Linked DNA regions of Mus musculus. The protein of the gene in region 5 purifies or fractionates together with the protein of the main gene of each other region. This does not show direct contact. Links are inferred from orthologs where the notes say so. Each region holds a gene or a part of one and is shown on either strand. Other genes may lie near its edges.

What was found.
Region 1: the proteins of Sin3a (region 5) and Nr0b2 purify together in Homo sapiens (affinity purification with western blotting; 3 studies listed by BioGRID). This does not show direct contact. The link is inferred for Mus musculus from reciprocal best matches to the Homo sapiens genes SIN3A and NR0B2.
Region 2: the proteins of Sin3a (region 5) and Hdac4 purify together in Homo sapiens (affinity purification with western blotting; 3 studies listed by BioGRID and IntAct, with this or other methods). This does not show direct contact. The link is inferred for Mus musculus from reciprocal best matches to the Homo sapiens genes SIN3A and HDAC4.
Region 3: the proteins of Sin3a (region 5) and Arid4a purify together in Homo sapiens (affinity purification with western blotting; 6 studies listed by BioGRID and IntAct, with this or other methods). This does not show direct contact. The link is inferred for Mus musculus from reciprocal best matches to the Homo sapiens genes SIN3A and ARID4A.
Region 4: the proteins of Sin3a (region 5) and Brms1l purify together in Homo sapiens (affinity purification with mass spectrometry; 3 studies listed by BioGRID, with this or other methods). This does not show direct contact. The link is inferred for Mus musculus from reciprocal best matches to the Homo sapiens genes SIN3A and BRMS1L.
Region 6: the proteins of Sin3a (region 5) and Brms1 purify together in Homo sapiens (affinity purification with western blotting; 4 studies listed by BioGRID and IntAct, with this or other methods). This does not show direct contact. The link is inferred for Mus musculus from reciprocal best matches to the Homo sapiens genes SIN3A and BRMS1.
Region 7: the proteins of Sin3a (region 5) and Sap130 purify together in Homo sapiens (affinity purification with mass spectrometry; 4 studies listed by BioGRID, with this or other methods). This does not show direct contact. The link is inferred for Mus musculus from reciprocal best matches to the Homo sapiens genes SIN3A and SAP130.

What each region holds. Positions count from the first base shown.
Region 1 is NC_000070.6:133,552,073-133,556,175, forward strand, and holds the start of Nr0b2 (nuclear receptor subfamily 0 group B member 2), read left to right. Parts: upstream 1-1,303; 5' UTR 1,304-1,352; coding exon 1,353-1,893; intron 1,894-3,922; coding exon 3,923-4,103. UniProt on the Homo sapiens protein: Transcriptional regulator that acts as a negative regulator of receptor-dependent signaling pathways. Specifically inhibits transactivation of the nuclear receptor with which it interacts.
Region 2 is NC_000067.6:91,967,342-91,970,841, reverse strand, and holds part of Hdac4 (histone deacetylase 4), read left to right. Parts: intron 1-2,383; coding exon 2,384-2,489; coding exon of another isoform or gene 2,490-2,504; intron 2,505-3,500. UniProt on the Homo sapiens protein: Responsible for the deacetylation of lysine residues on the N-terminal part of the core histones (H2A, H2B, H3 and H4).
Region 3 is NC_000078.6:71,060,967-71,064,466, reverse strand, and holds part of Arid4a (AT-rich interactive domain-containing protein 4A), read right to left. Parts: intron 3,186-3,500; coding exon 3,091-3,185; intron 2,937-3,090; coding exon 2,839-2,936; intron 1,375-2,838; coding exon 1,143-1,374; intron 1-1,142.
Region 4 is NC_000078.6:55,842,866-55,846,365, forward strand, and holds part of Brms1l (breast cancer metastasis-suppressor 1-like protein), read left to right. Parts: intron 1-1,530; coding exon 1,531-1,658; intron 1,659-2,418; coding exon 2,419-2,498; intron 2,499-3,500. UniProt on the Homo sapiens protein: Involved in the histone deacetylase (HDAC1)-dependent transcriptional repression activity. When overexpressed in lung cancer cell line that lacks p53/TP53 expression, inhibits cell growth.
Region 5 is NC_000075.6:57,075,060-57,079,175, forward strand, and holds the start of Sin3a (paired amphipathic helix protein Sin3a), read left to right. Parts: upstream 1-1,316; 5' UTR 1,317-1,571; intron 1,572-4,116. UniProt on the Homo sapiens protein: Acts as a transcriptional repressor. Corepressor for REST. Interacts with MXI1 to repress MYC responsive genes and antagonize MYC oncogenic activities. Also interacts with MXD1-MAX heterodimers to repress transcription by tethering SIN3A to DNA.
Region 6 is NC_000085.6:5,039,927-5,044,162, reverse strand, and holds the start of Brms1 (breast cancer metastasis-suppressor 1 homolog), read right to left. Parts: upstream 2,801-4,236; 5' UTR 2,673-2,800; exon of another isoform or gene 2,552-2,672; intron 1-2,551. Other genes in the region: B4gat1 (beta-1,4-glucuronyltransferase 1), read right to left, coding at 3,665-3,856, 4,131-4,236. UniProt on the Homo sapiens protein: Transcriptional repressor. Down-regulates transcription activation by NF-kappa-B by promoting the deacetylation of RELA at 'Lys-310'. Promotes HDAC1 binding to promoter regions.
Region 7 is NC_000084.6:31,647,868-31,651,367, reverse strand, and holds part of Sap130 (histone deacetylase complex subunit SAP130), read right to left. Parts: intron 3,235-3,500; coding exon 3,076-3,234; intron 1,824-3,075; coding exon 1,712-1,823; intron 878-1,711; coding exon 753-877; intron 1-752. UniProt on the Homo sapiens protein: Acts as a transcriptional repressor. May function in the assembly and/or enzymatic activity of the mSin3A corepressor complex or in mediating interactions between the complex and other regulatory complexes.

The DNA.
Region 1 (4,103 bases), on a different chromosome or scaffold from region 5:
GATAAAGGCTCCCTGACCACTGGAGACAAGCTGACAGTCACACACTAGAACTGGGAAGCATGGAGCCTAAACCAGGTGCCAGGGCAGAGGATGCCAGACCTCTTTATCCACAGCACCAGGTTGCCCAAGACTGTGGCAACAGGGAGCCTGCTAGGCAAGGCTAGCCAAGGTCAGGAACCAGACACAACTGAGGCCCTCCCATGTCCTTTGTCCCTTACCTCTGACCACTAGAGACAAATGTCCAGGACAGAGGAGCCATGTGCTAGCAGAGATGTGGTTCTACCCATACTGTAGGTGGGCCATACTTGCAGACCAGGTTGGGGGGGGGGCGGGGTGCCTGTTAGCCACCAGTTCTGAGAAACTCACACTTTGGCTGCAGAATTGATCCAAGGGGACAAACAAAGATTACTTTGAGGTCCGACACACCTGTGCTCCATCCCTTCCCGTTGGAGTGACTTTGAGTAGGTCACTTCACTTCTTGGAGTGTCACAGAGTAAGAATGTAGTCTCATTGGAAAGTCTTCAGGGTTACAATGGAAAGGGACCCACAACAAAGCAGGGTCCTTAGTAAATGTCGACCATGTATTCCCACGGTTTTGCAAGGGCAGACCCAGCCTCTCTGACGCTATAGGAATGCTGACTTGGGGGAAGGGGCTCTGAATGATCTTCCTCCCACAGAGGCCCCTGGATTGGAGTCCCAGAAGGGCGGCCTCCGAGACTGTACAGTGAGCAAAGTCCCCCAGGGACCTGGCTCCCTTCCCTGTGGCCCGTTCCTTACCAACAACAGTAGAGAGCCCCAAGGTTAGGCAAACACAGCAGCGATAAGCCACTTCCAGGCTGGGTCATGTATTCAAGGCTTTAGCCAGCTTCCTGGCTGGCTCCTTGGCTCAGTGAGAACCCTGGTCTTATGTGCATGGAAATGGGCATCAATAGAAACAGCAGTCCCAGGCACTGGCTGGTTGAGCGCCTGAGACCTTGGTGCCCTGGTACAGCCTGGGTTAATGACCCTGTTTATGCACTTGAGTCATCCGATAAAGGGCATCCAGGCAGTGGGCAGGTGGCCCTGTGCCCTGCAATGGCCACTTCATTGACTAAAGTGATAGCAAGGCCACGTGGAGCTTCCAGTGCCCCTCCCCCACCACTTCCCCATCAGTCCTGCCAGGGTCAGCGTGTATGCATTGTGTGTGTGTATGGTTTTTTTTTTTTTTTTCCTTTCAATGAACATGACTTCTGGAGTCAAGGTTGTTTGGCCAGTCCCCTTCCCGCCCATCAAGGATATAAATAGCACTCACAGTAGAGAGAGAGAGAGAGAGGGCCAGATAGCTGGGAAGAAACAGGAACAAGATACTAACCATGAGCTCCGGCCAGTCAGGGGTCTGCCCATGCCAGGGCTCTGCAGGTCGTCCGACTATTCTGTATGCACTTCTGAGCCCCAGCCCCAGGACCAGGCCCGTTGCACCTGCATCTCACAGCCACTGCCTGTGCCAGCAGCAGCGGCCTGTGCGTCTGTGTGCTCCGCACCGCACCTGCAGGGAGGCCTTGGATGTCCTAGCCAAGACAGTAGCCTTCCTCAGGAACCTGCCGTCCTTCTGCCACCTGCCCCATGAGGATCAGCGGCGGCTGCTAGAGTGCTGCTGGGGCCCTCTCTTCCTGCTGGGGTTGGCCCAGGATGCTGTGACCTTCGAGGTGGCTGAGGCTCCGGTGCCCAGTATACTTAAGAAGATCCTGCTAGAGGAAGCCAGCAGCGGTACCCAGGGTGCCCAGCCATCAGACCGGCCACAACCCTCACTGGCTGCAGTTCAGTGGCTGCAGCGCTGCCTGGAGTCTTTCTGGAGCCTTGAGCTGGGTCCCAAGGAGTATGCGTACCTGAAGGGCACGATCCTCTTCAACCCAGGTGAGCTTCCAGACACTCCTGGATGGTGGTCAAGGTGGGAGGGGATGGGGCCCATCCAAGGAAAGTGCTTTCTTGGGGCTTGACACCCATTGTATCATTGGGTCCTTGTGAGCCTCAAATAGATGGCTCATAGGAGAGGCACAAAGAGGTTAAGCAACTATCCGAAGGCCACATAGCAAGGCAGAGGCAGAGGAGGGCTGGGAAGGCAGAAGGCAGGCCAAGCTAGTGCAGAGACTGCTCTTTGCCACCGTGCCTGAGAAATGTGGCTTGAATCTTAGGGAGAGTGGGTGGGTAGAGAGGGTGCCAGAGGGGGTGGCAGCAGACACAGCTGCATGATAGCCATATCTTCAGGGTCAGGCTACATAGTGAGGCTCTAAAGGGTTCAGAGAGGCCACTCAGAAGGAGAAAGAGGGTTTGGGAGTGGGGCACTCCTTGTGAAGTCAAGCCAGGAGAAGAGAGGTGGAGTGATGGGGAGAACTGAGAGAGAGTCTCACCATGTCGCTCTGGGTAGCCTAGAACTCACTATATAGACCAAGTTGGCCTGGGATGGGAGAATAGTCCTCATAGCTTTGAGGAAGACAAGAGACAGGCCTTGATAGTTAAAACATGTCACATAGCAGTAGCAGTCCCATAGCCCCGTTGCATTCACCATATGGTAGGACTCACTCAAAGGGCTTTTTAAAATATCAGTTTGGTTAAACCTCATAACAAGTGTGGGTAACAGGCGCTGTCATTAGCCCCACTGGACAGATGAAGAAACGGAAGCACAAAGATTAAAGTACTCATTTAACAAAGGTCACTCAGAAAGATTAAACTGCATATCCAAGGTCACTCAGCTAATAAGGGGCAGCCCCGACGTTCAAACCCAGGCAGCTTGGTGCTGGTTTTGTTTGTTGGTTGCTTGGTTGTTTTTTGTTTTGTTTTGTCTGAGTTTTTGCTTTGTTTTATTTTAGTTTGGCTTGGTTTTTGGTTTTAAGATTTATTTAGCCAAGTGATGATAACACATACCTTTAATTCCAGCATTGGTAGGCAGAGGCACTCAGATCTCTGAGTTCAAGGCCAGCCAGAGAACTAGTTCCAGGACAGACAGGGCTACACAGAGAAACTCTGTCTCAAAAAAAAGAAAGAAAAGAAAAGAAAAGAAGAAAGAAAGAAAGAAAGAAAGAAAGAAAGAAAGAAAGAAAGAAAGAAAGAAAGAAAGAAAGAAAGAAAGAAAGAAAGAAAGGGAAAGGAAAGGAAGGAAAGAAAAGAAAAGAAAAGAAAAGAAAAGAAAAGAAAAGAAAAGAAAAGAAAAGAAAAAGAAGAGGAAAAATAGGGCTGAAGAGATGACTCAGCGGTTAAGAGCATTAATTGCTCTTCCAGAGGTCCTGAGTTCAATTCCCAGCAACCACATGGTGGCTCACAATCATCTGTAATGGGACCTGATGCCCTCTTCTGGGATGTCTGAAGACAGCTACAGTGTACTTACATATAATGAATAAATAAATCTTTTTTAAAAATCATTTTAAAAAAAGAACGAGAAAAAAATTCTTTGTAAATTATTTTATGTCTATGAGTTCCTACATACATGCACACATACATACACACATACTTGTATTTTGTATGCATCATCTGTGTGGAAGATGTCACAAAGATGTCAGAAGAGGGTGTCAGATCCTCTGGAACTGAAGTTATAGGGAGTTGTAAACCACGATGTGGGTGCTGGGAGCTGAACCCAGGTTCTGAGCAAAAGAACCTCTTAGCCACTGAGCCTTCTCTCCAGCCCATGTGTCTTAGTTATGATATCCTCATTATCTGTGTCCTCTCTATAAGTGGATGGATGGATGGATGGATGGATGGATAAAATGGTAAATAATGAAGGTGGCAGTGGGTGGACGCTCCAAGGTGGTAGAGTGAGCCAATGCATGTAACTCATTAGTGAAGGATCGCCTCAGTGCTAGAGGGGAGGGAACTGCTGACACCCTCACACCCTGTGCTAGCCTCCACAGACCTAGCCACTTAGCAGCTCTCTTCACCTTCTCTGCCACAGATGTGCCAGGCCTCCGTGCCTCCTGCCACATCGCACACCTGCAACAGGAGGCTCACTGGGCACTGTGTGAAGTCTTGGAGCCCTGGTACCCAGCCAGCCAAGGCCGCCTGGCCCGAATCCTCCTCATGGCCTCTACCCTCAAGAACATTCCAGGCACCCTTCTGGTAGATCTCTTCTTCCG
Region 2 (3,500 bases), on a different chromosome or scaffold from region 5:
TGTAGTAAGGGAGAGGGTTCAGGAAACATTGCCTATGTATTCTCATCTCCATCCATTCTGTCTGTGGCCTTTTGAGAAGCCTGTCTTGGTTCCTTTTCTATTGCTGTGATAGAATACCTGAGGCTTATACTTTATAAGGCAAAGAGGTCTGTTTACCACCTCACAGTTTTAGTAGCTAGAGGGTCAAAAACAGAGTACCAACATCTAATGAGAATCCCCTGACTAAGCCACAATGTAACAGAGAAGCAGAAAGGAGACAGCTTGCTGTGTGAGCTGGCTTTTCCCTGTGACAGCCTGTTCATTTGAGAACTAGTTTAGGCATACAGGTCTGAGCCATAATAACTTCTAAGAGTGAAGTCCTCATTTCCCAGTCACCTTCTGCCAGATCTGCAGTGCCAGCACTACCATATTGGGTGTCTAGCCTCTTCTCCATGAGCTCTTGAGGGCACATTACCTGCTTCCTTAAGATTCGGTGTCTTCTACAGAAGATGCTCCACTCTGCTCTGTTCTCAAACCCACATGCCAGGCCGACTCCCCTTGGCTGTCCCTGCCTTCTTCCTAGCTACTTCTCAGCTGCTCCCTGTGGCTGACCAGTGTGTACATCCATGCTTATGAAGTGAGGGAAGGATCCAAGACCCAGAGTGAAGACCAGCCCACATGTCCCACCAGCCCTGTCGGCTTCATGAGCCCGTGTTCTCCTGTTGTACGTATCAGAAAGGTGCTCTGGGGATATGCGGAGAACTCTGGACCTTTTCCTCCTCAGAAGGAAAGTTCTGTGAGGCAGTAGCCAGTATAGAAAGTACCCCTCAGCCTGGTTAGCTTTGCCTCTGGTTCCTTTATGCCAGTGTCTCTACCCAAGGAGCTGTGTGGCAGACATTGGGTTGTCACTCTGGGTATTGGTACTCAGTTTCCCCAGGTGCCATGCTTGCCCTCAGCAGGGCTGGCCTACCTGCCAGTGGGTGTAGTGTTCACCCCATACCTGGCCACAGCAGAGCAGGTCACATAGAAAAGGGCTCTGTCCAAGATCATGTCAGGCCTCTCTGGGTTCCTGTGTCATGACACAGCAGGTATGCATTCCCAGGCCCTGTGTACTCAGGAGTCCTAAGCTCTGAGGAGAAAGGATGAATTTGGGTAGGGCAGAGACAGAGACCAGGGTCCTGTGCCTGGGAGCTGTTAGCCTCGGGTGAGCCTTCGTTCCTTTCCCTGTGCCCTAAGGCTGGCATCACCTACCTCCTAGGATTGCCTGCAGTACCTGCCACAGGAACCTATTGTGTCTTCTCCTCAGCTAGAAAAATCCCTTCAGTCCTGCACATCAGTATAGGTTAGGGCACAAGGAACCTCAAAGGCCAGTAAATACCTCATGGAACAGCAGTAATTTCTGTTTTCTCTCAGTGGGCTCACCTGCCTTCCCTTATGCACTGGAGAATTCAGAGTTTAGATTTAGCCCAGGGCTCACATAGCCCTTGACTCCCTTACCACCCGTATTGTACCTCACTTTTGAGGATGTCTCAGTATCAGGCCCACACCTGCTTCTGAAGTCCCTCTGGATAGAAGATGATGAACAGGGGTGCGGTGAGGCCACAGGCACCTGCTTTGGAAGTCTGTCCAGAATGCTATGCCACTGGGGGGCAGCATTGACCAGTGTACACAAGTCGTGAGAAAAATCTCCTCTTTGTTGAGCTGGCCTTGCAGGATGAACTAACCATTCTGTGTGTCCAGATGTTGCCCTGAGGCAGCCTTCAGTTTTCAGCATTCATCAATTTCTTGTCCCCTCCCAGGAAAGTACACGCAGGCAGAAACTGTGAGGCATATTCTCAGCCAAGAAAGCAGGTGGAGCCAGGCAGGGGTAAGAACACAATAGATAAAAGCAGGGTAGCCACATCTCCTCAGTCCTTACTGCCTGTGTGGAGGCACAAGAGCACAGTAGCCAGCTCCTAGTGCAGCACAGAGCACAGTGTGTCACCATGTTCAAAGTGTCCCACAAAGGGCTAGTGTTGAGGGGATAGTAGAGCAGTGGCTTGAGGCCCCTCGAGAAGGAGCTCAGGCAGTTCCCTCACTTTAGATACTTCCTGCTATTTTTAAGCCCAGACCTTGGTTTTAGAAAACAAAGTAATAATTTATTGAAAATTATTGTGTGACAGTAAAGGGGGTCATGTTAAAAAGCAGAATTCTCTTTTTAAATGTTTTTCAAAGCTATGATTAAAATATAAGCCATCTACAATATTTTGAAATGTGATGTTATGTGCTGTTTTGTTTTCCACTTTTCAGAAAGTCAGTAATGATGTGCCTATCCCCATATTCAGGTTGCATCCCTCTGGGGCAGTGGCCTTGTCATGGTAGATAGAGCTGACACAGAAACATGTTCTCCCCTTGTGTCCCACAGTGCATCCGTGGACGCAAGGCCACATTGGAGGAGCTGCAGACAGTGCACTCGGAGGCCCACACACTCCTCTACGGCACAAATCCTCTCAACAGACAGAAACTGGACAGTAAGAAACTTCTAGGTACTCGAGACCTCCTTACATCCCTACCAGGTTTGATCTGCAAGTGATGTTTCCAGCCCTTGGCTCCTGCTGGCCAGGACAGGAAGGTTGGCTCCCACTAAGGCCACGGCGCAGAGAAGCCTAGAGCACAGTCAGCTCTGGAAGCTGTTCAGGAATGCTTACGGCCAGGGGTACCCAGCCCTTGCCCTATTTGCAGTTCCTTTCTAAGACTGCTGAGGGGAAGGCTCAGAGCAGGCCTGGAGAGTCCCTGGCCTGGCCACACTGAAGCCATTGGTTAGACTCGGGAGCTGAGTCTTGCCCCTGTCAGTCAGCACTCCTATGGGCAGGTTCTTGCTAGCAGAGACTCATCCTGCATCAGCAGAAGGGGCTTTATCAAATAAAAGTAGGCTTTGACAAACTGTGGGGCCCTATGTAATCCCAGAGTGCACTCTACATCACCAACCTGGCTTACCCCACAGACTCCAACTGCTCAGAGACAGTGATTTTTGCAGTGATCCAGAACTACAGGCAGTAGAAACAGAGACAGAGCTAGAGTTTCTTCTGGTCTCTTCCTTGAGACTCTGACTTCAGGTCGTGGTCCCACAATGGGGGTTCTTGGGCTGCACTAAGCCTGTCTCCCTCTCACCCTCTCTAGTGGGCCCTTTGAGTGCTTGCCTTCACCCTCAATCAGGAGACAGGGGACCCCTCTGCGGGTACTCAGCCAGTCCAAAGAGTACTGCCAGTGAGGGCTCCCAGCAGACATGTTCTCCAAGCTCTTGATGCTGTGCTCACACAGAGCCCTTCTGTGGTGTAGCCTGGTCTAGTGATAGTACCAAGGAGCAGATGGGAGTGGGATGGGTTTATGCTAGAATTTCAGGGCGCCTCTTGCCAGATTACACGGACCTAGGAGTTAGACCCTGGCAGGCAGCAATGAGGAAGTCTTAAGAGTGAATAGTAGGGCATGGCATGGGGCACTCCACAGAGAACTGGGGTGTGCTCTGCCTCCCTCCTGTCCCT
Region 3 (3,500 bases), on a different chromosome or scaffold from region 5:
TGGTGCTCTTCGCTGGCCTCTGTGGGCTCCAGGTATGCATCTGATGCACGCACGCACATCCAGGCGGGTGTACACTGGCACACATAAGATAAAAATAAAGAATTCACCTTTCCTTTCCATTAAACATGGCCTCACCAACACATAAGATACATAGGAGCTGAAAGCCAGGCACGGTAGTGCATGCCTTTAATCCCCACACTCGAGAGCAGAAGCAAGAAAATGTCTGTGACTTTGAGGCCAGCATGGTCTAGGACAATTAGAGATACATAATAGACAGACCATGTCTTAAAAAAAAAAAAAAAAAAAAGAACGGAAATTCTTGACAGTGTGGCAACCCATAAAATGATAAGTCATGCTATGTAGAGCTCATTGGGCATGGATCAGATAGTGAATGGCAATCCTTCATAAAACCTTAATCAATGAGGAGGAATACAGGGGGCGGAGGCGAGGTAGATGGGAAAATACAAATCAATGTATGCGGAGATAAAGCCGTACAGCACGCACACAGATTGATAGGAAGCGTGGTAGTTTGGGAGCACAGGAATCACCTAGAGGTGATTCATTCAGCTACCTAATGAGCGCTTTCTGGGTGCTGTGCGTCTTTATTCTAGAAGCCTCGGATCTCATCAGTGAGCAAAACCAACACTCAGCCTTGCCTTCATGGGATGCAACTTTAGTACAGAGGGAGGAAAAGAGAGCAAATCAATTCAGACTGAGCAAGTACATCCCAGATAAGAGGAGCGAGAAAGGAGATAGGAAGTAATTAGAAAGGCAGCAACCAGTGCAGGCTTCACTGGGGAGACATCTGAGCAAGAAGAGTACACGGGACTGAGCCAGACAACAGAGCCTTGAACGGACAGTAACAGAGAAGATGAGTGTGCAGGTCTGTGTGTGTGTGTGTGTGCGTGCGTGTGTTTACTGTTTTTGTCTGTTTGGTTTGGTTGTTTAGGACAGGGTTTCAGGCTGTGGCACAGGCTGGCAGGTAGGACTGATAAGCACTGTCTGTAGAAAGAGACTGCTCTAATAACCTTGAAGCAATATTACTAAATACTGGAACATAAACAAATAGTATGCACATACATTAAAATGCCCACAAAAAGTTCAAACTAATGCTTGAAGCAGATAAAGCTACAAGAACTCACTCTTGGCGACTTTAGCTCTGTGTCTTCTCTGTCGCTTTCACTGTTTGAGTCCGTATTCTCCTCGGGCTCACTCTTCACGTCCAGCAAAGGCATTTCCGGGGCCTCTTTTAGAGCTTCGTCCATTGAGTCTTCAAAGTCTTTTTTTTCCTCTTTTACTTTTGGTTCATGGTGGTGAATAGTTCTGAACTGAATATTTGCAGAACGGCAGTACTCCTCAAAACCATAGAGATATCTAAACACACAACATTTCATCTTAAGAAATCTTAGTCTCTGCATTTAATGTGAATATTAGGTAAATGTGTAGTAAAACCTGAGCCATGTTTAAAGTATTCTTGGTATGTTAGTAAATGCCTTTGATACAATCAACAAAAAAATACCATCAACTAAAATATTATCCTGAGAACCAGAGACTAATAAGCCTCCCACAGCACTGCTCTAGAAGGGCAGTTCTCAACTTGTAGGTCGCAACCCCTCTGGGGGTGCCAAACCACCCTTTCACAGGGGTCACATATCAGAGATCACGCATACCAGACATTTACATTATGATTCATAAAAGCAGCAAAATTACAGTTATGAAGTACCAAGGAAAATAATCTCATGGTTGGAGGTCACCACGGCATGAGGAACTGTATTCAAGCTCTAGAAGGGCAGTTCTCAACTTGTAGGTCGCAACCCCTCTGGGGGTGCCAAACCACCCTTTCACAGGGGTCACATATCAGAGATCACGCATACCAGACATTTACATTATGATTCATAAAAGCAGCAAAATTACAGTTATGAAGTACCAAGGAAAATAATCTCATGGTTGGAGGTCACCAGGGCATGAGGAGCTGTATTCAAGGCTCAGAGAGTTAGGAAGGTTGAGAGCCACTGCTCTAGAACATGCACATAACCAAAACTGCAGCCGGTGAGCTGGATCTGGACACGATGTGCACTCCTGCATCGCTGACTTTTAAGAGGAAATCAGCATGACATGGGAAGTGGAGAATGGTAGGCTATGACTCAGGAAACCTTTCAGCCCCACGTGACTGCCAGCTTAAACTTTTAACATTTATGGCCCTTGTTTGCAGTGTTAATTAAAATTACAGGCTGTTCCCTGTAAATGATCATTTGGGGGCAGGAGGGGTACTGTTCAAGACAGTCTCAGTCTCTCTCTCTCTCTCTCTCTCTCTCTCTCTCTCTCTCTCTCTCTCTCTCTCTCTCTCTCTCTCTCAGCTTTTCAAGACAGGTTTCTCTGTGTAGCCCTGGCTGTCCTGAGACTCACTCTGTAGACCAGGCTGGCCTCGAACTCAGAAATCCGCCTGCCAACAGTGTTTCTCGATGTAGGCCTGGCTGTCCTGTAACTCATCGTGGATCTTAAACTCAGAGATCCTCCTGCCTCTGCTTCCCTGAGAGCTGCAATTAAAGGCCTGTGCCATTCATTACTGCCTGGCTTAACTTTTTATTGATTCTTTGTAAACTGCACTTCATACACCCCAGTCCCACTCATCTCCCCATTCCCTCATACCCGCCCTCTGCCCTTGCCACCTCTCCACAAAAAGACAAAAAGAACAAAACCAAAACCAACCAACCAAACAAACAAAAAAAACTGTTGTCAAGGAAGCTGTATTATGTAAGGTCTGCCATACAATATATCCTTTTGCCCAAACTACTTTACTTGCTAATAATTATTCTTTAATGAAGCTGGACAACTTACTTTCTATAAGCAGTTTTTACATTGTAGGAAGCAGCTGAATTCAAAATTGGAATGCCAAGGTCCATATAAATTTGCTTCCATACAGCACCACTGTCAATCTGGAAGATTAAGATTTTGTTAACAACTGTCAAAGGAAATAACTGTTACACTAGCATTCTGTGTTCTTTAAGAAAATGCCTACGTCAGTGCAGCATCAAGCAACCAGACTTCTCAACGCACAAACACATACTTCTAAAGCAACGGTATACTTACATTGCCACATCCCCCCTGATGATAGACCAGTCTAAAGAGTTTGAAGAGATTGAGATCTTTATAGCCCAAAACAGGTGGTTTGTTGATCGGAGTACCTTTTAAATGTCAGAAGGAAAAAAATAAAGCATTTAGTCAAATGAAAAATACTAGTTTGAAAATAAAAATATTGACTTCTAATTCAACAAAATTCATTCACTGAAGGTATACATTTAAAGGTCCTTAAGCCACATAAGCCACAAAGTCTTTCTTCTCTGTGTTCTGTGTGCAGTTTTGTGGGCTGTCTGGAATTTAGGAGTTGCGCATGTCTACAGTCAATCTAGTTGCCTCAATACCAAAGAAATGGCTAAAATTAAATTAAAAATTGACAGTGCTGGTTGTGGCCCAATGCAGTGTGAGACGAAGCAGGAAGG
Region 4 (3,500 bases), on a different chromosome or scaffold from region 5:
GGTGACATTCTTCTACTGCCTCCGCTTCTTGAGTTCTGGGATTGCAAGTGCCCACCATCATGCTCATTGAAGGCCTCCAAGGTTTGAGAGGAGATAGAATAGATTCAGTAGAATTAGCAGGCAAGAAGGACGGATTTGTTTACTATATTAATTCTGCTTATGCTGCTTCTTCTCTAAACTTTCATTGGTGTTAGAGATAAATATATGAGTATTATTTCTGCTAGTATAACATTAAAAATATAAAGTTTATAATTTTGACTTTGAAACATATTTTTTTATTCTAGAGGTTAACATTATTGTAGCATATTTGGTGTCATGTTTGTAATTTCATCCCTTGAGAGGCAGAAGCAGAAGAGTTGGCTACTCTAGGTCAACCTAGACCACAGAGCAAGACCCTTAAAAAAAAAAAGATTTCTATTGGTAATTTTTTTAAAAAGATTCATTTATTTCATGTATGTGAGTACGCTGTCGCTGTCTTCAGGCACAACAGAAGAGTGCATCAGATCCCATTACAGAGTTGTGAGCCACCATGTGGTTGCTGGGAATTGAACTCAGGACCTCTGAAAAAGCAGTTAGTGCTCTTCACCACTGTGCTATCTCTCCAGCCCTATTGCTAACTTTAAAATTAGTTTGAGTTCATTTGGGCAACATTGAGAGTTCATCCAGTATCATTCTGGCAAATAGGTAGCAGATTTGTGTTTTTTATGTTTTTAAGTAATTTTAAATTATGTCTATGTGTGATCGGGTGTTTGACTGGAGATGAGTGTGTACACACAAGAGCGCAGGTGCCCATAGAGGTCGGAAGTTGGATTTCCTGGAGATGGAGTTAAAGGTGGTTATTCTCACTTGTAATCTCAGCACTCAGGAGGCTGAGGCAGGACCTCCGTGAGTCGGAGACTAACCTGGACTGCATAGTGAGTTTTAGACTAGATTGGATAATATAGTGAGATCTGTCTCAAAATCCCGGAAACAAGAAGCAAGTAAAAATTAAACAGGTTAAATACGGTACTGTGTCTTTTCAGGTAAGATGGTGAACAACCAAATTATTAGAAGTGATTTTCTCGTTTCTTTTAATCTAATATTTAAATAACTTTTTCTTTTAGAATTGATTTATTATTGTTCAATTAAATAAAAGTTGGGAGTGCCAAAGTAGTCATTTCAAGTTCTTTTTTTTTTTTCACTTTTATTTTCTTGAGATTGTTCTCGTTGTGTCCACTCCATCTTCTTGCCTCCCTCCCCTCTGCCCAAGTAGCTTTAGACAACAGACGAAGGCCACTGGGCCTGAATTTTCATTGCATTTTTTTTTTGTTGTGACTAAAGAGTGATGCCGATTAAAAAAACTAACAAACCCTGGACTGGTATCTGTTTAATATTATGATGTACATAAGTGAGTTTTCTGACTGCAGTCAGGGCAAGAATCCATCTGCTAGTTTATTGGAACATGAGCTCTGTTAGGAAGCAGTGATGCACAGGAGTTGCTTGACTTTGTTGTAAAGTTTTAATTGACGTCTTTATTTTTGCTTTGTTGAGACTTTATAAAGAGCGGTTGAGTCAGGTGGATGCAAAACTCCAAGAAGTCATAGCTGGAAAAGCACCAGAGTATTTGGAACCACTGGCCACCTTACAAGAAAACATGCAGATTCGCACAAAGGTAGCAGGTGAGCATGGATGACATTTTGTGTCCTTTGTGACACTTTTGATTTTGTGGCATTGTATGGGTGAATATGTTATACATGGCATAGGCTCAGGTAGCTGCCACCTGCCATGACATAACAGACAACGGCTTACATCCCTAGGCTGCCTGTGGCTTGGCGTTGAGTCTACACATCTAGAGGTAACTGCTCTCCAAGTCTGTGAGGCACATGTGTATGGGCACGCTCCCTATGCTGCCTTGTCCCCTGTAAGATGCACTTGGGCATCTGCCTCTCGGGAGCACACTCAATGTGATCCACCTCGTTCTGTGCGTTTACATAGTTAGTGCTCCTTGCAAAGCCTTGGACTCTGAAGAGGATAGTTGGGATACAGTGATTTTGACTGAATAAAGTATCCATTTCTTGCTTCTATTATGTGTGAATGATGAAACCAAGAGTTATTTCTGTCTGTCTCCCTTTCTGTTAGAAATCTGAGAAAAGGATTGTGCTGTTTGTTTTGCTCATTCTCAAGTGAACATTTAGGAGGTCTCTTGGGAATATGAGGTAGATCAAAAAGTAGCCATGGTTTCTTAGCTCATGAACTCTTAATTTCTTCTTCTTTGATACATGTTTTGGTTTTCTTTCTTTTTTTTTTAGGATAGAGTAAGAATCATTTGTGACTTTCTTATTGAGTCATCTTATAAACTGTGGTGTCGGCAGACTGTAGGGAAGTTGTGATGACTGACTGTTGCCAGGATAACCGCAGAATGATTGTGCTTGGTTTCAGGAATCTATAGAGAACTCTGCTTAGAGTCTGTGAAGAACAAGTACGAATGTGAAATCCAGGCTTCTCGACAGCATTGTGAGGTACTGTCATTCTGTTTAACGTTCAAGCTAATTGTAGCTCTTCAAGTCTTTTCTGAATAGAGTGGCTTAAAAAGTAAATAAAATAAGCAATGCAAAATTCAGTAATACTTTAGCTCATATCTTGGATGAATTTAAAAAGTGCAGTTCTACTGGTTGCTGTACTGGAAACAGGACTCAAAGGAACACAAGAAAGTGTGATAGTTTCAGAAGGTTTGCAACTGTTACTTTTTAAAAATCTATTTACATTTATAGTGCTAGGAACTGATTCTAGAGTCCTGTGTATGATTGGCAGCAGGCAAGTGCTGCACCTCTGAGCTGCAGCCATTGTCTGTGCTGTTTCCTTAGAGAGCTAGAGAGTGACCATGCCACCAGACAACTGAGGTTATAGTGTAATCACACCACATAGAACTTTAGGCTAAAATGGTGCAGCTAGAACATTGGGCTATAGAGTTAAGTTCTGACTGTCTGGACTGGCTTCTACATGTTAAGGCAGTATTTTCTATGTGAGGGAAATATAAGTGTGGCTTCTTTACGTTGTGTTCATTGTGTTTAAGAGCATCATGCTAATTGTGCGAATAACTTTTTGTAAGATTTAGATAGCTTAAAAGGCTGAGACAGGGCCAAGTAAGGGGACAAGTTCTAGAATGACCCCTAATTTTGATTTAAAAGTACTTTATTATTTTATGTGTATGTGTGTTTTGCCTGAATGTATGTGTGTGTGTCTGTGTACCTATGTGTGCCTGGTACCCTCAGAAGCTGGAAGAGGGCATTGGATCCTCTTGAACTGATGTTCCAGACAGTTGTGAGCTACCATGTGGGTGCTGGGGATCTAACCTGGGTCTTTTGCAAGAACAGCATGTGCTTTTAACCACCGAACCAGCCTCAAACCCTCTTTATTTTAATAGTCCATATTTGAATAGGTATAAAAGCAATGGAGATCTTTCTTTCTCTCCTTTCTTTCTTTCTTTCTTTCTTTCTTTCTTTCTTTCTTTCTTTCTTTCT
Region 5 (4,116 bases):
CTTTTTTTTGAAGGGCTGGCCTTAGGGTTCCTAAATTCAGACTATTCCTGCCCTTTCGCGAATGGTTGCGATTACAGCCCTTCCCCTTGAACAGTCATTCTTAAGACCATATCCTTCACACAATCTGGAATTTTTACTCCTTCTGTGAACGTAAGTGCACACTCAAGGTTTATTTATGCAGTGGTCTGTGTGAGGTTTTCAGCCTCTCTTCCTCCAGTTTAAAATGTCCCTGGATCTACCCGACCAATAGAGTATACATTTTCCCTTCATGCTCCGCCTTCCGGAGGCTTGCCCAGGCGGTGACATTTAAAGGCCTCCGCTGGGTTATCTCCGCCCCCTGAGGGCTGCAGATTCTGGTTGTCCCAGTGTCACAGTATTCAGTCAGCCCTAGTGACCAGCTAGTAATATCTGGGCTTTTGGATCAGATTAGAGCTCCAGACCTTAATTTTGGAGTCGGCTTGCTGAAAGTAGCTGCTGAGTGCTCCAGATGGCTGTGTTTAGAAGACCGTGAAAGTGTAAAAATAAGTGGGTAGGAAGGACAAGGCTTTCTGTCATTGTTTTGGTTAATTCTCCACGGCGGGTAATACTACTGCCTTTTCCTTTTCAAATCTCAAAGCCTCGGGTTTCGGCCGCTGAGCTCCCCGCCATCTCCGATCCCGGCCTTGGAACGCTGAGGTTCAGTCTCCAGTGTAAACATTCCACAAAAGGACTGCTAAGGTTCAGCATCCTCGCGCAGGGCGGAATGGTCTCCTTCCTGGACCGGCGCCGTGTCCAATGGCGGCTCCTACCGGCGCCAAGATAGTCCAATCAGATCATTGGGGGCGGGGCCTGGCCCAGCCGTGTAGTGGGTGGAGTCGGCCTCACTTAAGGACATTTTTACCCCACATTGGTTACTTACCTTCCTGGGGCTATGAGAGAAGCAAAGGTAGTCTTCCAATGCAGGGACCGGCGGAGGCGGGAGCCGATTTGTTAGGCCTGTGGCTGGGGCGGTATGGGGAGGGATATGTGAGACTCTCCAATGAGATGTGAAGAGGTACTCCTCTTCCTCCAATAGTATTAGAGCCCGGAGGAGGGATTCGGCAATCAGTCTCCAATAGGCGGGGTTGAGTTAGGGACTCTCCCCGCCAATAGGGGCGTGGAGAAGGTGAGCGGCTCGCTCTCCCCTCCCAGCGAGGGAAGAGGGCGGGAGTAGGTCTTTGCGGCATAGTGATTGGCTAAACCATTGACGGATGGGTAATATATCCCGTGGCGGAGCGAGGTTAAGCCTTCCCTCGGCGGGGCGGGCCGGGAGAGTGGGCGGGATTTCCCGGGTAACAGAGAAGCGGCCGCGGCGGTAGAGGCGGCAGAGACGGTTTCTCCATCTTCCCCCCTCCCCTTCCCCCCTTAGAGTTTCCCTCCCTCCCTCCCTCCTTCCCAGTCTGGGCACCCAGGCCTGTGACCGCTTCGTGGGCGCAAAGGAGGTTGCCAGTCCGCTCTTGCGGGCCTGTGCCCGCGCCGTTCCGGGGCCTCCGTGCTGGGTGCGAGGCTCACGCCGGGAGCGACGCACAGGCTGAGTGGCTGGAGCTTTTGCGGTGAGAGCACGCCGCACCGCGGTCCGCCCAGCAGCTGGGTGGCGGGTAACCCGGGACTGGAGGGCGTGTGTTTTTCGGGGGGGCTGACCTCGGCTTCCCGTGCGTGGCTGTGGGGGGCGGAGCGGAGCCGCACTCAGTGCGGGAGGGGGAGGAGAGCGTAGTCCCGGTGCGCACGGAGGGGCGGGTCCTAGTCCCGCCGATCAGAGGCGGGGCCGGCGCGCGTGCGGTGGTGGAGAAAGGGGCGGGACGGGCTCGCGCTAAAGGCCCGCGGCTGTGACCCCGCCCCTTCTCCCTTATGGGCGGGACCACTGGCTGAACTGCTTTGGGTCCGCGGGGCGTGCGGGACGGGAAGAGGGTCCCGGCGTGTGGCTTTCAGGGCGCGGTGGCGAGGGGGCGTGAAGCCTGTGTTCCCCCGCCTTAGCGGGATCCGGTTGGCCGGAAGGCGCGTCCGGGGCTGTGATGCCACGCCCCTCCCGCCCCGCCCCCTCCGGGATTTCCGCCTCCTTAGCAGTGAAGAGGAGCTGGGGAAAGCCCGCTGTGGCGTCTGGCAGGGGGTCAGGGCTCCGTGTCTGCTCCTCCCAGCATCCCCGTGGGTGGGAGGGCCCCTTGTAGACTGGGAACGGTGGAGGTGTCCGGACTTTATGCTGTGGCTTCTTCATCCATTCTGCTTGGGGCATCGTGGCCCGTAGCTGTAGTCTTCTACTTTGCTTCACACACCATGGATGGCGCCTTAACAGCTAGGGAGAGTAGAAGCGTGGTCAGCTGCTCCTCTTCGTTGTAATTATTGGGACGAGATACTCAGCGTCCTCTCTGGAGTGTCTGCGGTGGGGTGCGGCTGGTGCTGTGCCCTTGCTTCCCCGACAGTGGCCGGTGGGGGAGGGGCAGAGTGATCAGGGACTGGAATTGTGGAGGGCGCCAACCTTCCCTGGAGTTCCCTTGATGTTCAGCTACTGCGCCTTTACGGGTTGATACCTAAAAATTGCTACCATTTTTGGTAGCTTAGGACTTTAAACTCAGTTTACCATTTGAGCTCCTAACAAATCTGAGATTTTATTTCTAGAGAAAGTATTGAATTTATGATTGTAAGTGATGGAGTGAGTTTAGGGCACATAAGCATTGCTTCACCGCTAGGCTATACCCCAAGGCTAAATTTTTTTTTTTTAAGTCAAAGATTTAACTCTCTTTAAGTAAAATACTCTGATTTCTTGACTGATTTCACCTACAGAAGGTTTTGTTACATAAGCTTAGTTTCACAAAGGTAACTTAGAATTTTGTGTTCTCTTTTGGTTTTATGTAACTTCTAGTCCTTAAAGCTTCATGTTGCTCTTTTTAGATACTAAGTAGGTTGAACTGTATGAAACCTATGTGTAGCATAGCTTACCGGCCTGTGTTAGAGAGTTACTTTGGCCATTGTTGGTTTACTGCACATGTAACCATATTAGATGATCTTACTCGAGAACTTCATGAAAAGTGAACATCGAATTCTTAATTTATGTATTGATATCTGAGTATGTGTAAACCACTTTTAAAAAAGATTTATGTTAAAGTGTGTGTGTGTGGGGGGGGGCAGAATAGGATGTTAGATCTCCTGTAGGTGGAGATAACAGGTGGTTCTGAGCCACCTGACATGGAACCCAACTTAGGTCCTTTTACAGGAGCAGTCTGCACTGAGCCATCTCTCTAATCTCATAGTCATGTGTAATTTCTGAAGCTAAATTCTGGATTTGTTCTTTGTTCAGTAGAGGCTGAAAACTGTGCCCTGTGCTGTACTTAATGAAGAGGTTAAATATTCACTTTTCAGCTAAAGAAGTGACACCAGCCATGGTAACAGAATGGAGGTGGAGCCCAAAAGATAAGGACTTGGATGTACTACAGATGGAGTACACTTAAAACGCTAGAAGAGAATTCTTTGGCTTTGAGGAAAGTTTGACCAACCCATAGTTAATTTTACCAATTGAAGTACAGTTTGGAAAATCAGATGACTTAATTCATACCTTTTTTTTTTTTTCTTGTTTTTGAAACAAAGTTTAGCCCTGGGTGTCCTAGAGTTCACCCTGTAGTCTAGGCTGGACTCAGACTAAGAGACCTGCTTGCCTCTGCCCCCCAAACACTAGGATTAAAGGCATGTGCCACCACTGCTGAGCATAATTCTTATGTTTATAGAATGTGTATAATAGGTTGTGTACTGGAGTCACAAGTCCTAGGCTTTGAAATTTCAAGAACCTTGTTTTTGCTTGTTTTTTTTCTCCTATCCATCAGTATACGTTTGTTATTTTTGCATACTAGCATTTAGGAGGCTAAGCAGACTAAGTGGTGAAGAGTGAGTATTACTCTAAGAAAACCTGAGTTCAGTTTTCAGCAACCATGTCAACCTGTATCTCAGGCTCCAAGTACTGACACCTCCGGCCTCTAGGACACAGACACGGGTGCACACCCCCACATCCATACACACAGTGAAAAATAACAGAAATACAGCTTTGAAAAATAAACTGTTAATACTTTTAAATTCAGGCCTTAAGTCGTGTGCATAAGGAAGTTTTTTCTT
Region 6 (4,236 bases), on a different chromosome or scaffold from region 5:
CTCAGATTCCCATAAATGCTGAGCCCCAACTACCACTGAGCAATATCCTAAGCCCCTAGCACTCCTAAGGACGTGAACAGGAAGCACCTTCCTCTGTGGAAGTTCAGATGCGGAAGCTCAGGGTTTTCCTGAGGAAAAACAGGAGGGGCTGGAGAGGCGGCTCAGCAGGTAAGAGGACACTGACTGCTCTTCCGGAGGCCCTGAGTTCAATTCCCAGCAATCACATGGTAGCTCACAACCATCTGTAATGGGATCCAATGCCCTCTTCTGGTGTGTCTGAAGACAGCTACAGTGTTCTCATTTACATAAAATAAACAAATCTTTTAAAAAAAGGAAAAGAAGGCCGGGCGTGGTGGCGCACGCCTTTAATCCCAGCACAGGCAGAGGCAGGCGGATTTCTGAGTTCGAGGTGTTTCTAGAATTCAATTCTAGGTCTCAATTCCCAGTACTGGAGAGAAAAAAAAAACTAAAAAGCAGAGAGAGCCTGATGAGGTTCATATACATAATCCACACGCTGACGCAGGAGGCCATTCTGGGTTAGACAGCGAAGCTCTGTCTTAAAAAGACACAAAAGCAGTATGTCTGGGGGTACAGGTCAGTGGTAGATTGCTGTCTGAAGAGGCACCTAGACTAGATCTCTCTGGAAAAAACAAACACAAATAAAAAAATAAAGCCAAGTGAGGTGGTACAGGCCTGTTATCTTAGCATTCAGGAGGCAGGGGGATTACTACAAATTCAAGCCCAGCCTGATATACAGTTAGTTTCAGGCTAGCAATAGCTGGTGAGGCTGTGTCAAATCCAAATGAGTAGGTAAAAGAATGAATGCAGAAATATGAAACAGCCCCGTTTAGTTAATTTTCTGTAGTTCTCTGGGCCTTGCGCACACTTGCTATTCTGACTTTCACCTCCTCCTCTTTCAGTGTTTGGATACCCAGCACTCACACTAAAACCACTGCGGCAGAATTACGAATCAATTTCCTTGTAGCAAACACCAACATTTGCCAGTGCTTGCCTTAGGTAACCTTTCAGAAACAGTGAACACTAAGCCCCTCCCCTACCTTTCTTCCTACTTATCCAGTATTTACTAAGCACCTAAAGTGTGCCAGGCACCAACAGTCACCGTGGACTGTGGCAGATGCTACAGTATAGCTATGACAGCCTTTGGCCTCGAGGAAATGACAAATTTCTGGGAGAAACGCAAAGAAGCAGACCTTTATAATGGTGTGAAGAGAGTCAAATTAAGGTGTTATGGGAGGTGTCTACACAGGAGCTGGAGCTTGCTGCTACAGTGACAGCTTCCAGAGGGAGACAGACTAGGTGAGGACCAGGCCGCCTGAGATGGAACATTCCAGGCAGAGTGAAAAACAAGTACAAAGACCTAGAAGTGAGAAAAGGGACCAGGGACACAGGCATGTGAACTTCCACTAGACCCAGGCTCCTCTAGCTACATACGGCAAGTTATTTAGGCTTTGTGCAGTCTGACTTTTCAGGCGGAACTGTGAGAAGGGGCCTCTGTTGGAATTCCCAAGGTCAACAAAGGAGGCAGGAGGAGAAACCTCTGCAGAACAGATTGAAAATCCAAGAGTTAGGGTGGAAGGTATTTTCAGAAGGAAGGAGACAACGAGAGATTGATACTGCCAGGCCCCCAGAGAGAATAGGTCATCTTGGATGTAGATGCTTCTAGTTCACACTGGTGTGATTTCTACATCTCTGGTTGCTGCTCTGTAAGTCTTTCCCATGGGGAAGGCATAACTCCTTCCCCCAGGAAGTTTTTTTTTGTTTTGTTTTTTTCGAGACAGGGTTTCTCTGTGTAGCCCTGGCTGTCCTGGAACTCACTCTGTAGACCAGGCTGGCCTCGAACTCAGAAATCTGCCTGCCTCTGCCTCCCTAGTGCTGGGATTAAAGGTTTCTTTGTTTTTTATCTCATATTCTCCCAGTCTCATGTCCGACCACCCAGTGAAATGTGGGTGTTTCATCAGGACAGGGCAGCAGGCTGTCCTACTCGCCCAGTGCAGTGCCAGCTCACTTGATGACTGGGAATTTCTAAACCCAAATTAAACAACATAAACTTTTGCAGTATAGAAACTGGCTTTTCCTTCTTGGCAACCCTACTTGGAGTAACGCTCCTTCACACCCATGCAAGTAATTATAGCGCCGGACCTGCAGGAGAGTTTAGTAGCATTTCCTCCTGCTCTGAAAATCCAGATCTCCAAAACAGCCTCACTGTTCCCCTTTTCACGCCTCAGACCCTCCACACTGGCAATTCCTTTTCACCGTTGTATATACTCTTTCTAAGACGCAGGATGAATTCAAGGATCTCCTTCCTCCAGCTGACTCTGATCCTGACTTCGTTAAATGAAGTCACAACCAATCGTCCCTCCTTAACCCGGGTACAAATAGGGGATATACCATTGCTGAGGGTTGTAGGGAGTGGAAGAGGCACACGGTAAACGCGCGGTGTATAAGCACCTCCACAGCAAACCTCCAGGGAAAGCAGACCCCTCCCTACAGACACAGAGGACAAACTCTGCGGCGCAAGGAACTATCCCACCTCGATCCACCCTCGGAACCGCGGGCTCCTCTCAGGCCAGCGCGCGAGTCGGGCCGGTTAAGTCTCTGCTTTAGCTCCGATCCGGAAAGCCCAACCCAGCGCCGGGCGTGGCCATACGCACCGCAGACACTGGGGCCTCCGGCCTCACGTCCAGGACTCCCGGAGAGCTGTCCGACCCAGGGTGTGAACGCCGCCGCCGTTGATCTCCGGAACAGTGCTGCGCAGGATTCTCTTTCTCCAGGAGGTGTCGACGCTTCCGTGTGCGTCATCAGGAGGCGCCCATTTGTGGCGCTTACAATGGAACCACTGGTGTCCAGGCATGCCGGGATACGGCGGACGGGTCTCCATAGCAACTGGCCCCCAGTAACCCAGGCCTTCAGCCTGTCCTAGCATTGTGGTCGGTGTCCTTGGGTCCACCGCCGTCTAACACGGTGCTCCGGCCCACCACCCCTCGGCTTAGGAGAGTAACAGAGCCAGCTGTGGGTGTGACATTCGTTTATTTACATAATGTCATCCGAAGGCAAATGAGCAGCCCAACCTACTGGAGGGCACAGATCTGGGACTTTAACCTTTATCTCTTTCCTCCTTCAGGGATCTCGGAGGGCGGAGGGCGAAGGCATGAGAGAACGGGAAACGTTCTTAGCACTACATTCTACGTTTTCATCTTTCTTTCCAAAAGCCTCATTTTATTAAACACTCAAGCTTCCCACCTCTAGCCCATTCAAACTTTTTGCTCTGCCGCTATCCACCCAACATGGTTAATAGTAACAATATCATAATAACACTGTAGCAATATTAATAATACTTCACATTTGTACGAAGTTTACAGGATGTTTACACATACAGCGTCTCATCTGAGCCAACAGTTCTGTGAGGTAGGTATTTTCACCTCCCTTTTTACAGACGGCGTAACGGAGGCTCAGAGAAGTAATAGTATTTGCTCAAGGCCACACAGCTAGTTAGTGGTAAAGCTGAGACTTGACTCCCAGCACCCCATAGTCAAGTCCAGTGTTCCAAACCCATAGCTACCTCTGTAAAGTGGAGGCATGTTTCTTACCCCAGTCAGGCCTGGAGCCAGATACTGACAATTCTCAGACCATGGAAGACAAGGACTCAGCATCGGTGGGGAGAGTTGGGGTACCTAGCCTTCAACTCCTGTTTGAACTGGCGGTAAAGGATCTTATTGCGCTGGTTTTCAGCCTCCTTTTGGGGATGGAACTTCAATGCCTCCTTGAATCCCTTATGAACCAGAAAACCTTCGTTCAGCACCTCAAAATTAAACCCTGCCACGTGCAGCTCACAAGCCTGGAAAAGGGGCGGGGGGGGGGGAGGGAGAGATAGAGGAGGGGAGAGGGAAGAGAGGGAGAGAGACAGGGAGAGGTCACAGTGATTTAATCACAATAACTTAATGATATCCCCAGGGCCCACATGATCATCCCTAAAGTTCCACTCCACTGTCCTCAATTCTCCATCATCCAACCACTTTCTTCTTGCTTCACTGCCTCCTTTCCACCAATGGCCACTTCACCCCTGACACGCCTCCAGTCTTAGTCCTACATGCCCTCTCCCTTTTAAGTACCTGGCTGATTCGATTGAAACCATACTGCCGAAAGCGTTCGTCAAATGTGGGCACCTTTCCTCCAGCCACATAAAATGGTTCCCAGGGGTCCCTCCAGGGCACCACG
Region 7 (3,500 bases), on a different chromosome or scaffold from region 5:
GCATCATGCCTGCATGAATAACTGTGTAGTACAGGCACACAGGACATGTGGCGGTCAGGAGAGGGCACTGGAACCCCTGGAACTCAAGTTACAGATGGTTGTTAGCCATCATGTGGGTACTGAGAATGGACCTGGATCCTCTGAAAGAACAACTATTGCTCTTTAACTCCTGAGCCATCTCTTCTGAACCTGCATCTCCTTCTGACACAGCACAATTCTATTAGGACTGAGATTACAGAATTCCTTGAATAAAAATAAACAAGGTTCAAGTGTAGCTCAGCTACTAGAGTGCTTGCCTGGCATGAATAGGCCTTGGGTTTGATTGTCACTATGGAAGAAGGGGTGAGTGTGTGTGGTGGGGGGATAAGAGGGGGACTACCAGATGTATTTAGTAGTTGAAAGTTACCTGAAAAGGGAGACATTTATTTCCATGCATAAAATGTACATAAGCCTTTTTGGTGCTCACAAAGCTCTCTCTAAATTACAATCCTCCTCTATCTTAGCTAGCCTTTCTCAGCACTGTAGCCACCACTGTCGTCCTTGCTCCTGTTCATTCTCTACACCAGTTGTCTTGTCACTTTTCCATCAAACTTTTAATGCCCTGTTCTACACTTGCACCACTCAAAGGGCATCCTCCAAGCTTTGCAAAGAGAAGTAACTGAGCTTATGGAGCCCCTCAGTGTACGGCAGAGCGCACGGCTATGGTAGCGCACAGAAGCCAGACTGGCTGAGCATCCCTGACCCCAACATGCCTGGATTGGCTGGTGAATGAGGTGCTGTACTGCTGGCTGCGCCGTAGCAGCATTTGGCAGCTGTGAAGTTGGCCTCAGGACTGTAGTTACTTTAGAGCTGGACATCACAGCGGCAGCAGCTGCACCTGAAAAGACAAAACTGATCAGCATGGCTTATAGAAGCATTACTTAATAAAGCTAAGTATGCTCTCTAGGAAAGGCAGAACTGCCAAGCCTGGGCAGCATGTGGGTCTCCCGCTCCAGTACACTGCCTACACTTCTTATTTTATTATGAAGAAAAGTAAGAAAATGTGTATTCAAGGACTATGTGTTTTGTCTTTAAATTTGTTTATATGCATCTTAGGAGGTATGCCATTGATATGGTGTGCTGCTACAAGAGCAGCACAGTATGGTACCACTGCCTAGACTGTGTCTAAACCAGAAACACATTAGTCACTAGCAATGTGTCAGCTTCTCATGCTGCCTGTGTGGCCTTAGTGCCGATATCTACACTGTACAAAGGCAAATAGTGTCTTAGCAGTTCTATTAAGGTAGCCTGTGTGTGATTCCACAGACTCCTAAGAGTCAATGAATGACTGCTGGAGTTCCAGGCACAGCAGGGCTGCACTGCAAAACCATGTCACAAACACAACACAACACAAGCAGCCAGGGGTGGTGTTGTGTACCTGCAATCGGCATTTAGGAGGAAACTACAGGAGGAGCACAAGTATGAGACCAGCCAGGGTGACTTAGGAAGACGGCCTAAAAATGACAACAACAAACTCTCTTCCTTAGATGTGCACAGACGTGTTCTAATGTAACTGTAGGAGGCACATAACACATCATGTTGAAAGTTGGTACTGCTGTGGGTTCATCTCCACTGCCCTGTAACTTTAGGTTGACTGTGCAAAGTCGGTCATCCTGTCCTCCAGTCAGAGTCTGTCTGCTACTGTATTTGGAGCACAATGTGCAGTTTTTACCTCGAGGTAAGTGGGAAGCTCCAATGTGAAGTGGGGGCCCGGGAGCGTTGCTGCGGATTATGGACATCTGCACATTTGTGGTCATAATGTGATGCAGGTTACTGGGATGCCCCTGGAAGAAACAGCAGAGAAGACAATCTTCATGAGGATGGCCTTAGCTATTGCCTACAGAAAGTCAGTTTGCTTCAAACTGGGTCAGGCTGTTCTTGAAAACAACAACAACAACAACAACAACAACAACAACAAGAATTCCCCCTTCCTTTTTGCTGTTTGGGGGGATTTCCAGGGCAAATCATGTATAATTCAAGGGCTGTACACTGATGTGCAGTCTTGAGTCAGGTCATTCCTTTCGGACTCTGAGTATTGTCTACAGCTATACTACTCTACACATGCCCAATCTCCATTGGGAGTATCCCAGGGAAAGGGGCTCCATGAGCCTTTTCATCTGCTGTGTTTTAATAATGGCCCCTGTAAATGAGCAGGTCCGAAGTGAGCATACTCCAATAGCCCCAACAAGTTACCAGACCCCAGTGCCACATGAGACCTCCGACTATTTCTTTTTAGTAACTCGAATCTGCACCAATCTTTTACACTTGTTCTCCCTTTCCTGGTCACAGGCTTATTTACCCCACCACTCTATTTTTTTAAAAAATAGATCTTTATATCCATTATTCTTTATGCTACTTAAGATTTCTGAATACATGTCAGTTAACGCCTCTAATGGCTTCAGCTCATCCCCTAAGCTTTCCAGCACTCTGATATAAGTACATCGCAGATGACATTGCCAGACTTCTGGCAATTACTTGGCATGATTAGAGAACAAGACGGGGCATGTTTTTTTAATATTAATTTTTCTTGAAAACACAAAGGAAAAGAATTTTGAGATTTAGTTTCTTCACAAGTGTTATAATTCAAAGTATTTAATAAATCAACTATACATAATGGAATACAATTAAAATTTCAAGTTAAAACTGGAGCCTTTACTGTAAATGCTCACAATTAGAGGGCAGAGAGAACCTGCTACACATCTACTATCCTCCAAGAAAACCTAGGATGCTTCCAGGTTTTCTGAGGTTGAGGTAGTCTCGCCTCCTCAGAACCGTCTCCCTCTAGTCAAGCACATGTCGACTGTAACCCTTCTAGGACAAAGACTGCTCATGGCTCTCTGTGATTTTACACTGAAGGTCGTATGGTAGCTGGCATAGGATGTGCTCAGCAGATACAGCCTAACCACTAAGCAGCCTGGGTGTTACTCCTTTTGATTTCAGCACTATTATCTCCCTATGGGTATCTGCAACCACTCAATTATTCAGGACACGGCCTAATGCACTTAGAAAACGAACAAGTCAGGAGGAGAGAATAACCTGTTGTCCACTGATTGTTGCCACGGGAATGGCTGAAGCTTGAGGGATGCTGCTCTCCATGGTAACAGTAACCTGCCCGGGAACTTTCGGGGGAAGTGACATGGTAGAAGGGGGAGCAGGCGCAATGGGACGGCTAGGCATGGTAGGCTTCGGGGGCGGCTGCAAATAGAAAACCACAGGACACATGTCAATAGCTTTGCTCTAGCCGTGCATCTTACTTTAACAGCACACAAGTCCAGTCTGCAGAGTGACATACAAAATGAGACGGGTAGCATAAGGCTCACCTGTCGGCATAGCTCTTCTGCAAAACTACTGGTGTTTTATAGTATAGAGGACGAAATGTACAAACGAGCTAAACATTTTACTCAGAGACACACAGTACAAAGCAGACCCGGGAATAAAGCCTGGATCTGTACTGCTCACAC